Linked DNA regions of Macaca fascicularis. The protein of the gene in region 2 purifies or fractionates together with the protein of the main gene of each other region. This does not show direct contact. Links are inferred from orthologs where the notes say so. Each region holds a gene or a part of one and is shown on either strand. Other genes may lie near its edges.

The links. The genes of interacting proteins can lie anywhere in the genome.
Region 1: the proteins of SMARCA4 (region 2) and HSF1 purify together in Homo sapiens (affinity purification with western blotting; 3 studies listed by BioGRID). This does not show direct contact. The link is inferred for Macaca fascicularis from reciprocal best matches to the Homo sapiens genes SMARCA4 and HSF1.
Region 3: the proteins of SMARCA4 (region 2) and CTNNB1 purify together in Homo sapiens (affinity purification with western blotting; 3 studies listed by BioGRID and IntAct, with this or other methods). This does not show direct contact. The link is inferred for Macaca fascicularis from reciprocal best matches to the Homo sapiens genes SMARCA4 and CTNNB1.

The regions. Positions count from the first base shown.
Region 1 is NC_088382.1:153,991,463-153,995,312, forward strand, and holds part of HSF1 (heat shock factor protein 1), read left to right. Parts: intron 1-1,763; coding exon 1,764-1,890; intron 1,891-2,301; coding exon 2,302-2,438; intron 2,439-2,618; coding exon 2,619-2,743; intron 2,744-3,850. UniProt on the Homo sapiens protein: Functions as a stress-inducible and DNA-binding transcription factor that plays a central role in the transcriptional activation of the heat shock response (HSR), leading to the expression of a large class of molecular chaperones, heat shock proteins (HSPs), that protect cells from cellular insult damage.
Region 2 is NC_088393.1:11,592,263-11,596,112, forward strand, and holds part of SMARCA4 (transcription activator BRG1), read left to right. Parts: intron 1-8; coding exon 9-251; intron 252-1,811; coding exon 1,812-1,925; intron 1,926-2,627; coding exon 2,628-2,735; intron 2,736-3,706; coding exon 3,707-3,793; intron 3,794-3,850. UniProt on the Homo sapiens protein: ATPase involved in transcriptional activation and repression of select genes by chromatin remodeling (alteration of DNA-nucleosome topology).
Region 3 is NC_088376.1:104,083,480-104,087,287, forward strand, and holds the end of CTNNB1 (catenin beta-1), read left to right. Parts: intron 1-867; coding exon 868-928; intron 929-1,984; coding exon 1,985-2,193; 3' UTR 2,194-3,292; downstream 3,293-3,808. UniProt on the Homo sapiens protein: Key downstream component of the canonical Wnt signaling pathway.

The sequences.
Region 1 (3,850 bases), on a different chromosome or scaffold from region 2:
CTAGTGGCGCCTCCTTCTCCCCAGCTGCCAGGCACTGCCTCAGGCAGCCCCAGCGTTCAAAAATCGTCTCTAAATGTTTCAACAAACACACCTAGGCGAACAGCTTTTTTATTCAGGAGAGCTTCAAGTCAAATCAGAGACAGCCTTGTGCGTGGACTCCTAGGCAGATGCTGCCAGGCCTCTGGGAATGGGGCCTGGGAGGAGCCCAAGCCCTGGCCCGCCCCGCAGCAGCTGCCAGGACACTGGTTCCCACGAGGACTGCAGCTGTCGGTCTTCAGGGCTGCGGATGGAGTGGGAATAGGGCACGTTAAAATGCCGCAAAGCCTGGCCGGGCACGGCGGCTCACGTCTGTAATCCCAGCACCGCAGGAGGCCGAGGTGGGCGAATCACTTGAGGTCAGGAATTCAAGACCAGCCTGGGCAACATGGTGAAACCCCATCTGTACTAAAAATACAGAAATTAGCCGGGCATGGTGGCGCCTGTAGTCAACTACTTGGGAGGCTGAGGCACGAGAATCACTTGAACTTGGGAGGCGGAGGCTGCAGTGAGCCGTGTTCATACCAGTGCACTCCAGCCTGGGCAACAGAGCAAGACCCTGTCTCAGAGAAAAAAAAAAAAGTTCACACAGCCCACCGTTCTTACTAAGATTCAGCTGTTTTTCTGGAATAATTGCTCCCCGTGCTACTGTAATTCTTTGGTTAATTTTCAGAGTTCTGGAAAGTTGGCTTGGTGTTTTTCACCCTCTCTCTCCTGCTGCCTTGGGTCCTTTCCGTGATTGGTTCCCTCCCTAATGCATGCACATCCTTGTTTATTTCGCGTCTCTCTATATTGGAAAGCGGTTCTCCACTTCTAGTGCCATACCATGGGGGTTTTTCTGGCTTTTTTCCCTGTTTGCATCTGCAGCTCCCTTCCCTGGCAGGATAAATCTGCCCCACTGCCCTTCCCGTTTCTTCACTGGGTCAGCCGCCCCTTCCTGTGCAGACACCCCTCACCTCTCTCTGGCCCTGCTTCAGGCCCCCATTCCCTGCCGTGTGGGCTTCTCGCTGTCCCCTAAGCCTTCAGTGCCCCCTCTGAGCCACTGTGGCCACGGCCAGCAGGGATGCCTCCCTCGCCAGCTCCTCCTGATAGCTCTGGGCCTGAGCTTGGGAGAGAAATGGAAGAGGAAGAATATATGCAGTGTTTGACTGTCTCTGTTTCTCGTCTCACGTCACAAAACAAGAATGAGTTTGGATTTCTGAACGCAAATGTGTTTTCCTCTGGAGTAATGAAATCAGGGCTCAATTTCCTTTGCTGTTCCTAAGGGAAATGTCCTGCTTAAACACCCATCCCGTGGGCATGGGCCAGAGTGCATCGGGTGCTTTGTGAGTGGAAACGTGGCCTTCTCTAGAACCCCTGGGTAAAGCTAAACCCCGTCCCGTGGGCGTGGCCAGAGTGCGGCAGGTGCTTTGTGAGTGGAAACGTGGCCTTCTCTAGAACCCCTGGGGAGGGGCTTCCTGGCTGTGAGGAAGGCCCCGCATCTGCCCACCGCCCAGTCCTGGGCCTCACAGTGAGGATGCAGGTCACGCTGCACAGATGAGCCCCGTGTGGCAGGTGGTCCCAGGAACGAACTCGCCTCCCCCCAGCCCCCTGGGCCTCCCATGGCCCCAGCCCCATCAGGTGGAACGTGCACTGCCTGCGCTCCAGAAGGGGTGGCCTGGGGAAGGGTGGTTTGGGCGCGCTGCCTCTTGCCACCACGCGTGACCCACCGTGTGTCTCCCTTTCAGAGTGGGAACAGCTTCCATGTGTTCGACCAGGGCCAGTTTGCCAAGGAGGTGCTGCCCAAGTATTTCAAGCACAACAACATGGCCAGCTTCGTGCGGCAGCTCAACATGTGTGAGTGCCGCCTCCGAGGTGCGGGAGGCGGACCTGCAGACGGTGGGACCCCAGCAGGAGGACCCTGTGGATGAAGGACGGAGCCCCCTGTGCTGGCCAAGGGCATGCCATGGAACCCAGCAAGCCTGGGGGCCGGGGGCAGCTGCCTCTTCCAAGGGGGAGGGTCCTCGTGGGTATGAACCTGGGGTCCCCAGGGAAGGACCGTGAAGCCCGAGCTGTACTCCATGTGTATCGGGCGTGGGGAGCCCTGTGGGGACACAGGGTCTCACTTAGACCAAGACCACCCGGCCACCAGGCGTGGGCTCTGAGGGGCAGGGTGGGGTCTGACCGTGGCCAAGCTCCGCAGCAGCCTCCCAGGGCAGTGGCCGCTCTTTGAGGGGTCTTGGTCCCACCCTGAAGCAGAGCCGCCCCCTTCCCTGCTATGTGCAGATGGTTTCCGGAAAGTGGTCCACATCGAGCAGGGTGGCCTGGTCAAGCCAGAGAGAGACGACACGGAGTTCCAGCACCCGTGCTTCCTGCGCGGCCAGGAGCAGCTCCTTGAGAACATCAAGAGGAAAGTGACCAGTGTGAGTGCCGGCCCCGCACCCTCGCCCAGTCTCGCCTGCCATGGCTCTCCCCGCCTGGCCCTCCCTGAGAGCTCCCACCCCAGCCTGCCTGCTTCCTGAGGGACCTGCTGCAGTGTACGAGCCTGAGCCTGCCAAGCTCCCAGGCCGATTCAGTGACCCCTGTCCCTCTCGGGGATCCAGGTGTCCACCCTGAAGAGTGAAGACATAAAGATCCGTCAGGACAGTGTCACCAAGCTGCTGACGGACGTGCAGCTGATGAAGGGGAAGCAGGAGTGCATGGACTCCAAGCTCCTGGCCATGAAGCAGTAGGTCCCACACCAGCACTGTGGGCTGCAGCGGGTGCTGTGGGGGCAGGGCCCTGTCCAGGGCTCCAGGTGCTCAGCCCCACCTCCTGCTCCACCCAGATCTATTGGGCCTCTGCCCCAGCCCCGCCGCCCATGGCTGCTGGGACCAGCCATTCTCCACGTGCAGAAGGGGGTCCAGAGGGTCCCTGTTCTGCACGTCCCCAGCGCTCTCTGGGCCATCCTGGCCTCCCGGGGTATTGGCTTCTGCCTGGGCTCCGAGCTTGGCGGGACCTACCAGCCTACTTTTGAGGACAAGCCCTGCACAGCAGACCCATCCCACCCGCCTCGGGCCTGGGGTCAGACGCATCTCAGGCCCTTCCTGGAACCTCTGCCCCACATGTGCCTGGGCCTATGGAGCTAGCCCCCCAGCCCCTCCTCACCAGGACCCTGCGGCTCTGGGGAAACCTTAGCAGGGGCCTGACACATGGTGGCACCTGAGAAACTGAGGCAAGCCCACCTCAGAAGGCTGGCTCAGGTCTCGCATCCACTTTGGGGCTCCAGGCATGCGGGAACCCCAACCCCAGTTGGCCCCAAGAAGACTCACAGGCTTGGCGGGGCTCAGCCTCCCAGAGCAGCAGGAGCGCGCTCACGGCCCTGCTCAACTGGCTGGGGACAGCTCTCCCCCACCCCGTGGGGCCACCTCTGAGCCACTTCCAGGCCTGGCCCTGAGCACCTGCGGGACCCGGGACAGCCGGTGTCGCACCTGAAGAACGTCCTCCCTCAACCTGGCTTCTCAGGCCTCAGAAGGGCGGCTCAAGGGTCTGCTCCTAGCCTGTGTCCAAGGCAGCCCTCCAGGTGTTGGCCAGGATGGATGCCAGGATCTGGGTGCACCTGGATCCTGGTGTTCCCGTCCCCAACACCCTACCTGACACCAGGTGTTCCTGTCAGGGAGGGGGCAGTGGGACCAGCAAGCCCTGGCCCTGGCCCCCAGCCCTCCACACAGCAGTTCTCATCCTGGGGTGGGCCAGGCCAGACATGGTCATACTTAGCCCTGCTCCTGCCTGGTGGACGGGGAGGGTCTGTGGGGCTCCCTCAGCCCTGGGGCTCCTGGGATCGGGCCCCACTGAC
Region 2 (3,850 bases):
GCCGGCAGATCCGTTGGAAGTACATGATTGTGGACGAAGGTCACCGCATGAAGAACCACCACTGCAAGCTGACGCAGGTGCTCAACACGCACTACGTGGCGCCCCGCCGCCTGCTGCTGACAGGCACGCCACTGCAGAACAAGCTTCCCGAGCTCTGGGCGCTGCTCAACTTCCTGCTGCCCACCATCTTCAAGAGCTGCAGCACCTTCGAGCAGTGGTTCAACGCGCCCTTCGCCATGACTGGGGAAAAGGTGGGTTTATCCAGTTGTGCCCATGCTGACGGTTCCAGGTGCGGCTGGTTCTTTCTGCTGGCTGGAGCGTGTCCAGCGCCTGCTACAGCTGGCTAGGCCTGTGCTGGGTGCCTGGCGAGATTCCGCATCTGCATGGAGCCAGGGGAGCCCTGGAACCCAAGGCTGGGGCAGCCATAAGGGCCCCAGGGGAGCAGGGCAGAGGTCATGATGGTGAATCTCGGAATGCTCGGGGCGTGTCTGACTCTATGCTCCAGGTGTAGAAGGAATGGTGAGGAAGATGGCCCTGAGGCAGCTGTGGAACCGCAAGTGTGTGGAGAGCACCGCTAGAGTCTGCAGCGTGCTGTAGGCCCCTTTAGGTGCCCTCAGAACTCACCCTCAGGGCAGTGGGAAGGAAGCTTGGAAGATTCCAGTTAACGAGGCCGCATGGTCCGGTTCTGTCTTATGTTGTTTTCGAAAAGCGCAGTGGCCAGTGTGTCTCAGTGTCTGGGTGACAACATCAGCCAGGCTGTGGCATGGCGGCATCATCATGGATGAGTAGCCCCACACCAGCACTGGTCCCTGAGCCTAGAGCCCCCCTTGCTGTTGGAGGTTGAAACTGTGGGACGGGCTGTGTTTCTTTCTGAGGGGTTTAGCCAGATGCTGAAGTGTGGGTAGAACTACAGAGGTTACCTCGAAGTGCCCTGCCCACCCCCTTTTTCCCACCTTAGACAGGTCCAGGGCAGCTGGGGCCTTCCTGGTGTCGTCCATGAGTTCCCTGCCCTCTCGGCTGCTGGTCAAGGCTGTGACTCTTCTGACAGAGAAACTGAGGCATTCCCCAAAGCCTCATGATAAAGGGGTCCCCAATTTTTAGATTCCCAGGCCCCCCACACCAAGAGCCAGGATCTGATGCCGTAGTTTCGGCGCTTTCTGAGCCGAGCAAAAGCTCTGCCAAAGGATTGCTTGGGAAGCAATAGAAGAAAAGTTCTGGCTTCATCTTATTTTCCTTTAACTTTTTAATTAAATCATTTTAAAAGTTAGTTCTTAGTAGAGGAGTAGGCGCCGTGGGAGGTCAGGGTTTCTTTCACCTAGTTCCACCCAGGCTGAATGAGAGCCCTCCCTGAGAATCACTCTGTGTAAGCCCCACGTGGTCAGGCTGGCCCCTGCAGCGCTGCTGGCGTGAGCTTGGTGTGTGGTGGGTCTGTGGGCACTCCAGTCTGTGTTACTCGTGGAGAGCAGCATGCCCGCTGCCGGGGTCTTTCTGGTGAGGCACAGGGAGCAGGGTGAGACGCTTCCCAACTGGATGGGGTGAGCAGATGGTCCACACAGAGGTTTGTGCTCTGGGTACTGCGGCTCCATGTCCCAGGAATTACACGGAGGGAACCAGATCCTTACAGTTTCCTAAAGAAGAGGGTGCCCTGCTGGGCCCCCAGAAAGCATAAAGCGGTCTGAAAAGCCACATGCCAAGGGCAGAGTCACCCCAGGGGACCCCATACCCCCGTCTCCACATCTGCACCTTCTAGTGAGACCTCCGTTGCCCTCCTTTGGAGGTAATGCTTGCTTCTCGTGTCTTGGTGGGGCCAGGTGGACCTGAATGAGGAGGAAACCATTCTCATCATCCGGCGTCTCCACAAAGTGCTGCGGCCCTTCTTGCTCCGACGACTCAAGAAGGAAGTCGAGGCCCAGTTGCCTGAAAAGGTGACGGAGTTTTGACGGGAGCCACTGGTGAAGCAGCCTCATGTGGGGGCTTTCCCCAGGGCTGGGCGTGCTCAGGGTCTCTCCCCACAGTCCCGGGCCTGCCCTGGTCAATCCAGCTTGGGGGCGGCGATGACGCCACTGGGTCTGTCATGCTCTATGCTGCTGTTCTGCCGTAGGGATTAAAAAGCACTCATAGACTCACATAGCTCACAATAGGTTAGAGCACAAAATCCCACTTCCTGTCGGGGGCCAGGTGCCTGTGCAGGCTCTCCTGGCCACATCAGGAGGGGCCGTGGGCTTGGGGTCGCCCCCTGGCCCCCAGTCATGGCTCTGGGTTTTCAAGGCCTGCAGCAGCCACACCCCCGGACCCAGTTCCCACAGCAAGACCCGCAAACTCGGGGTCCCCAGCCACAGTTGCCCCTCTTGCTCTTTGTTTCCTGGCTGGCTGTGGAGAGGCCCCCAGGAGATGGCTGAGGGGCCCTTTCTGGCCCAGTATCCCCCGGGTATCTCTGTGTGCTACTTCCTCTCTTTGCGCAGGTCTCCCCTCTTCTCTCCAGCTGTGCGGGACTCCTCACCCACACCCCAGTGTGCCCTGGTCAGAGCTCATATGACAGGGCCGGGGAGGTCAGAGCTCGGTTTGGGTGGTGGGAGTCGGGCCTCAAGCCACCTTGGGCCCTCGTGAGCTTCGTGTGCCCCCTGCAGGTGGAGTATGTCATCAAGTGCGACATGTCTGCGCTGCAGCGAGTGCTCTACCGCCACATGCAGGCCAAGGGCGTGCTGCTGACTGACGGCTCCGAGAAGGACAAGAAGGTGGGCCCCGGAGTCCCCCAGCTGCATTCCCCACTGGGTGTCAAAGGCGGGCAGTGTGGCAGGCAGGGCAGAGCACGCTCTGACCATCGGGTCATGATCTGGTCCTGATCCCCAGGGCGTCTGGCCAGCCCTGGTTATGATGGCTGGTGGCTTGTGTCAGGACACACTGACTCAGTTGCCAGTGGCTTCCCCTTTGCTTATGAAACACTGACTCCTTCTGCAATTGGCAGCCTGGGCCCAGCACTAACCCTAGCAGGGTTAGAGTGTTCTAGAATGCCCCCCTTCTCTCTCTTATTAAGTGAAAGGGAGGGAGCGGGCTGTCTCCTTCAGGGGTTGCTCTTGAGAATCCTGGGCCCCAGGACCCACCTGCCTGGCTCTGCTCAGCAGGAGTGAAATTGTCCTCCCAGAGAATACACCAGACCCCTTGCCTCTGACCCCAAGGCCTTGACTTCGGCCTGGCTTCCCCCAGACGTTGTGTCTGTGCCCCTCCTCCCCTGAGCTGAACAGCAGTGTGTTCCCTAGTCCATTCCCAGCCCAGAGCACGCACCCCCCGCCCCTGCCCCCACCTCCTTCCTCATCCTGGAGCCCAGGGAGCCTCCTGAGTCATGGCTCACCCAGCTGAGACCCTCTAGGGAATCCAACAGTAACAGTGCCCAGAACAAAGGTGGCATCACAAAGCGTCGGGGACTCTGCCTCAGCCCTTTGCCAGTCTTGTTTCTGTCCCGTCGTGCTGGCCCTGTCCCCGCCATCTGTCCTCTGCTGTACCAGGCAGTCGTGTGTTTCCCAGGGCTTGTTGGGGGCCTCCAGGCCTCCAGCCTGCCATCTCCTCCCAATTGCTGTGCCTAAAGCCACTCCTCCCCACTAGAGTATCCCCACGGCCCTTCTCCCAGCAGCCACCCATCCACCAAGCCCACCCCACCCCGCCCCAGGAGGGCAAGACCCCATTTGGGACCCTCTCATCTGCCTCCCAGGGCAAAGGCGGCACCAAGACCCTGATGAACACCATCATGCAGCTGCGGAAGATCTGCAACCACCCCTACATGTTCCAGCACATCGAGGTGAGCCCGCCGCGGCCCGGACGGCTCAGGGCCTGCCGTCCACTGAGCTCTTAGGCA
Region 3 (3,808 bases), on a different chromosome or scaffold from region 2:
GAAGTTTATTTTATCCACTCTGTAGTGATCACTGATGGTACACAGTCATAACAGTGGATTATATTTGTTGAGCGAATGGAAAGAGAGATTATTAGGTTTAAAACGATGCAGCTCTTGAGGCCAGGAGTTCAAGATCAGCCTGGGCAACATAGTGAAACCCCATCTCTACAAAAAAATTTAAAAATTAGCTGGGCATGGGGATGGATGCCTATAGTCCTAGCTACTGGGGAGGCTGGGACAGGAGGATTGCTTGAACCCAGGAGTTAACAGACTGCACTCAGCAACAGAGCCAGACTCCAACTCAAAAAAAAATAAATAAATAAAGGAGAGCAAATTACCAGTGAGTGGTGTGTTACTTGGGTTTTTAATAGGCATCTTATTAACATGTTCCAACTTGAGCCCTTAACTTTCTCCACCTACCCCCTTCCACAAACCTGTTTTGACTGTCTTCTCTGTCTTGATGTCAGCTTTGTCTGTCCAGCTGCTCAGGCTAAAACTTTTCTTTCATACAACACATCCTGTCAGCAGCTCCTGTTTGGGGGTAGGCATTTTGCCTGTTTTTTTTTTTTAACTGCTATATCTCTAGCACGTAGAACAGTGCCTGGCAGCACATAGTTGGTGCTTAATATGTATTTGTTGAAAGATCAAGTCAGTGAGTATTTTTAATGTGAGGTGCAAAGAGAAAAAAAATGTATCTTTGAGGGGTGGAGTTTTGAAGAACTTCCATTTTCTAAGTATTTGTGTAATGTTGGAGTTACTTGTTTCCTTTGTAATCTGAAAGTATGCTTTAAAAAAATTAGTGTACTTTTAAGTTGAGAATTTTCATTTTGCTTTTTATTCTTTCTTGCCTTGTGCCTGTTTATCTAGACTGCGGATCTTGGACTTGATATTGGTGCCCAGGGAGAACCCCTTGGATATCGCCAGGATGGTATGCGTCTCATATTTCTCGATTAACTCCAGATCAAGCTAAAGTTCTAAAACTTGATCAGAAGAGCTGGTTTGCTCATCTGGGAAACTAGTGTTGGCAGAAAAGTAATGGCTTCAATTAAAAGCAGTTCTTAAATTCCAGTCAGCAACAGTATCTTTAACGGAGCACAGGGAATTCAGAGCCACACAATGAATAGCAGTAGGATTACACCACCAACAAATACATGCTACTACTAGGCCTCTGCAGTGTAGGATGTTACCGTTTACCTGGCTTTTTATTCTCTTTTTGGCCAGAGGACTCATAATACCTTTTGTCTACAAGCTACCCAAGGAAGACAGGAAAACTCCTGTCTCTAGGCTCAGATCTGGGGTGGGTTTTTACATAGTTGCATTATCAGGGTTTTCTTGAAAAGCGAATTCACATCTGGGTAATGAACATAGAGGATGGGGTAGACCAGTAACAATTACAACTGTCTTACATTTATAACCTCATCTGCTTCTACCTAATTATGAAACCACTAAAGCGCAGATTCTTACTGTGACAAATAACATGTCAACCCTAAGATAAAATATGTTGAGGTTTCATTGAAATAGTGCCTTAACTTTCCTTAGTACTTTTGTTGGTGTCACTTGGACTTTTTGTCAAGATAGATTACACCTGCCAGACCTCATTATTGTCTTAATCCTCCTTCCCATGAGTTCTCATTGCCTAGGTGGTCACACAGTAGATTCCTGCTTCTCCTTCTTGGGAACCCCAAGTCTGACAGGGGTAAATGCAGTGTGTTCAGGGTTACACTAATGATGTGACTAGGCCCTGCTGGTGTGCCTCTCTGATGGAAACAGACGTTATTTGTGTAGTCTCATGGGTGGTCTGGCACTGAGTAATTACTTGGCTAAAGAAAGCTAGAAGTTGAAGAGGCTAGAAAGCATTGTTTTCTGACAAGTTTGCTGCTGAACTTTGGATGCCCTAACCTCAGTGTTAATGTCTATGTCTGTTTCTCTCCTGTCTCTTTTGCCTTCCTTCTTGCCTATTTTGTTCATACCCTGACTCTTCTAGATCCTAGCTATCGTTCTTTTCACTCTGGTGGATATGGCCAGGATGCCTTGGGTATGGACCCCATGATGGAACATGAGATGGGTGGCCACCACCCTGGTGCTGACTATCCAGTTGATGGGCTGCCAGATCTGGGACATGCCCAGGACCTCATGGATGGGCTGCCTCCAGGTGATAGCAATCAGCTGGCCTGGTTTGATACTGACCTGTAAATCATCCTTTAGGTAAGAAGTTTTAAAAAGCCAGTTTGGGTAAAATACTTTTACTCTGCCTACAGAATTTCAGAAAGACTTGGTTGGTAGGGTGGGAGTGATTTAGGCTATTTGTAAATCTGCCACAAAAACAGGTATATACTTTGAAAGGAGATGTCTTGGAACATCGGAATGTTCTCAGATTTCTGGTTGTTATGTGATCATGTGTGGAAGTTATTAACTTTAATGTTTTTTGCCACAGCTTTTGCAACTTAATACTCAAATGAGTAACATTTGCTGTTTTAAACATTAATAGCAGCCTTTCTCTCTTTATACAGCTGTATTGTCTGAACTTGCATTGTGATTGGCCTGTAGAGTTGCTGAGAGGGCTCGAGGGGTGGGCTGGTATCTCAGAAAGTGCCTGACACACTAACCAAGCTGAGTTTCCTATGGGAACAATTGAAGTAAACTTTTTGTTCTGGTCCTTTTTGGTCGAGGAGTAACAATACAAATGGATTTTGGGAGTGACTCAAGAAGTGAAGAATGCACAAGAATGGATCACAAGATGGAATTTATCAAACCCTAGCCTTGCTTGTTAAATTTTTTTTTTTTTTTAATATCTGTAATGGTACTGACTTTGCTTGCTTTGAAGTAGCTCTTTAATTTTTTTTTTTTTTTTTTTTTTGCAGTAACTGTTAGTTTAAGTCTCTCGTAGTGTTAAGTTATAGTGAATACTGCTACAGCAATTTCTAATTTTTAAGAATTGAGTAATGGTGTAGAACACTAATTCATAATCACTCTAATAATTGTAATCTGAATAAAGTGTAACATTGTGTAGCCTTTTTGTATAAAATAGACAAATAGAAAATGGTCCAATTAGTTTCCTTTTTAATATGCTTAAAATAAGCAGGTGGATCTATTTCATGTTTTTGATCAAAAACTTTATTTGGGATATGTATGGGTAGGGTAAATCAGTAAGAGGTGTTATTTGGAACCTTGTTTTGGACAGTTTACCAGTTGCCTTTTATCCCAAAGTTGTTGTAACCTGCTGTGATACAATGCTTCAAGAGAAAATGCGGTTATAAAAAATGGTTCAGAATTAAACTTTTAATTCATTCGATTGTGTCACTCTTTTTTTTTCTTGTCATTAAATGGTGAGGGTGGTAAGTTTATCCAACTCAACTTTATACTGAGGAAGATACATAGTGAAGTAATTTGTTATAGCGATAGAGAGGCCCTTCTCTAGATGCAATTTGCCAAGTTTCTTCAGCATTTGGCCCTGGGTTACATTGCACCCCCAAAAACGTGTTTCAGCCTTGCACATTGTGATTAGTTCTGGGCTTTTGTGGGAGAAAGCCAAGCAGACTGTCTATCATCTATCTCTCTCTACCCCAATCTCCCCGATGGTTTGATTCCATTAAGGTAATGAAATATTAACTACCTGGATTTGGATTTGAATCACCTTCACACAAGTGTGACTCATTGGGAGAGGGGAATTCCTTCAACTCTACTTTGAACTAATAATTAAATAGGTTTAAGTGATGATGTTTATCTGAACATAATCAGAACCAGAATGAGCCTTCCACACTATCTGCCAGATGATCCTATCAGTCATCCTGGTGGTAGGTCTTACAAG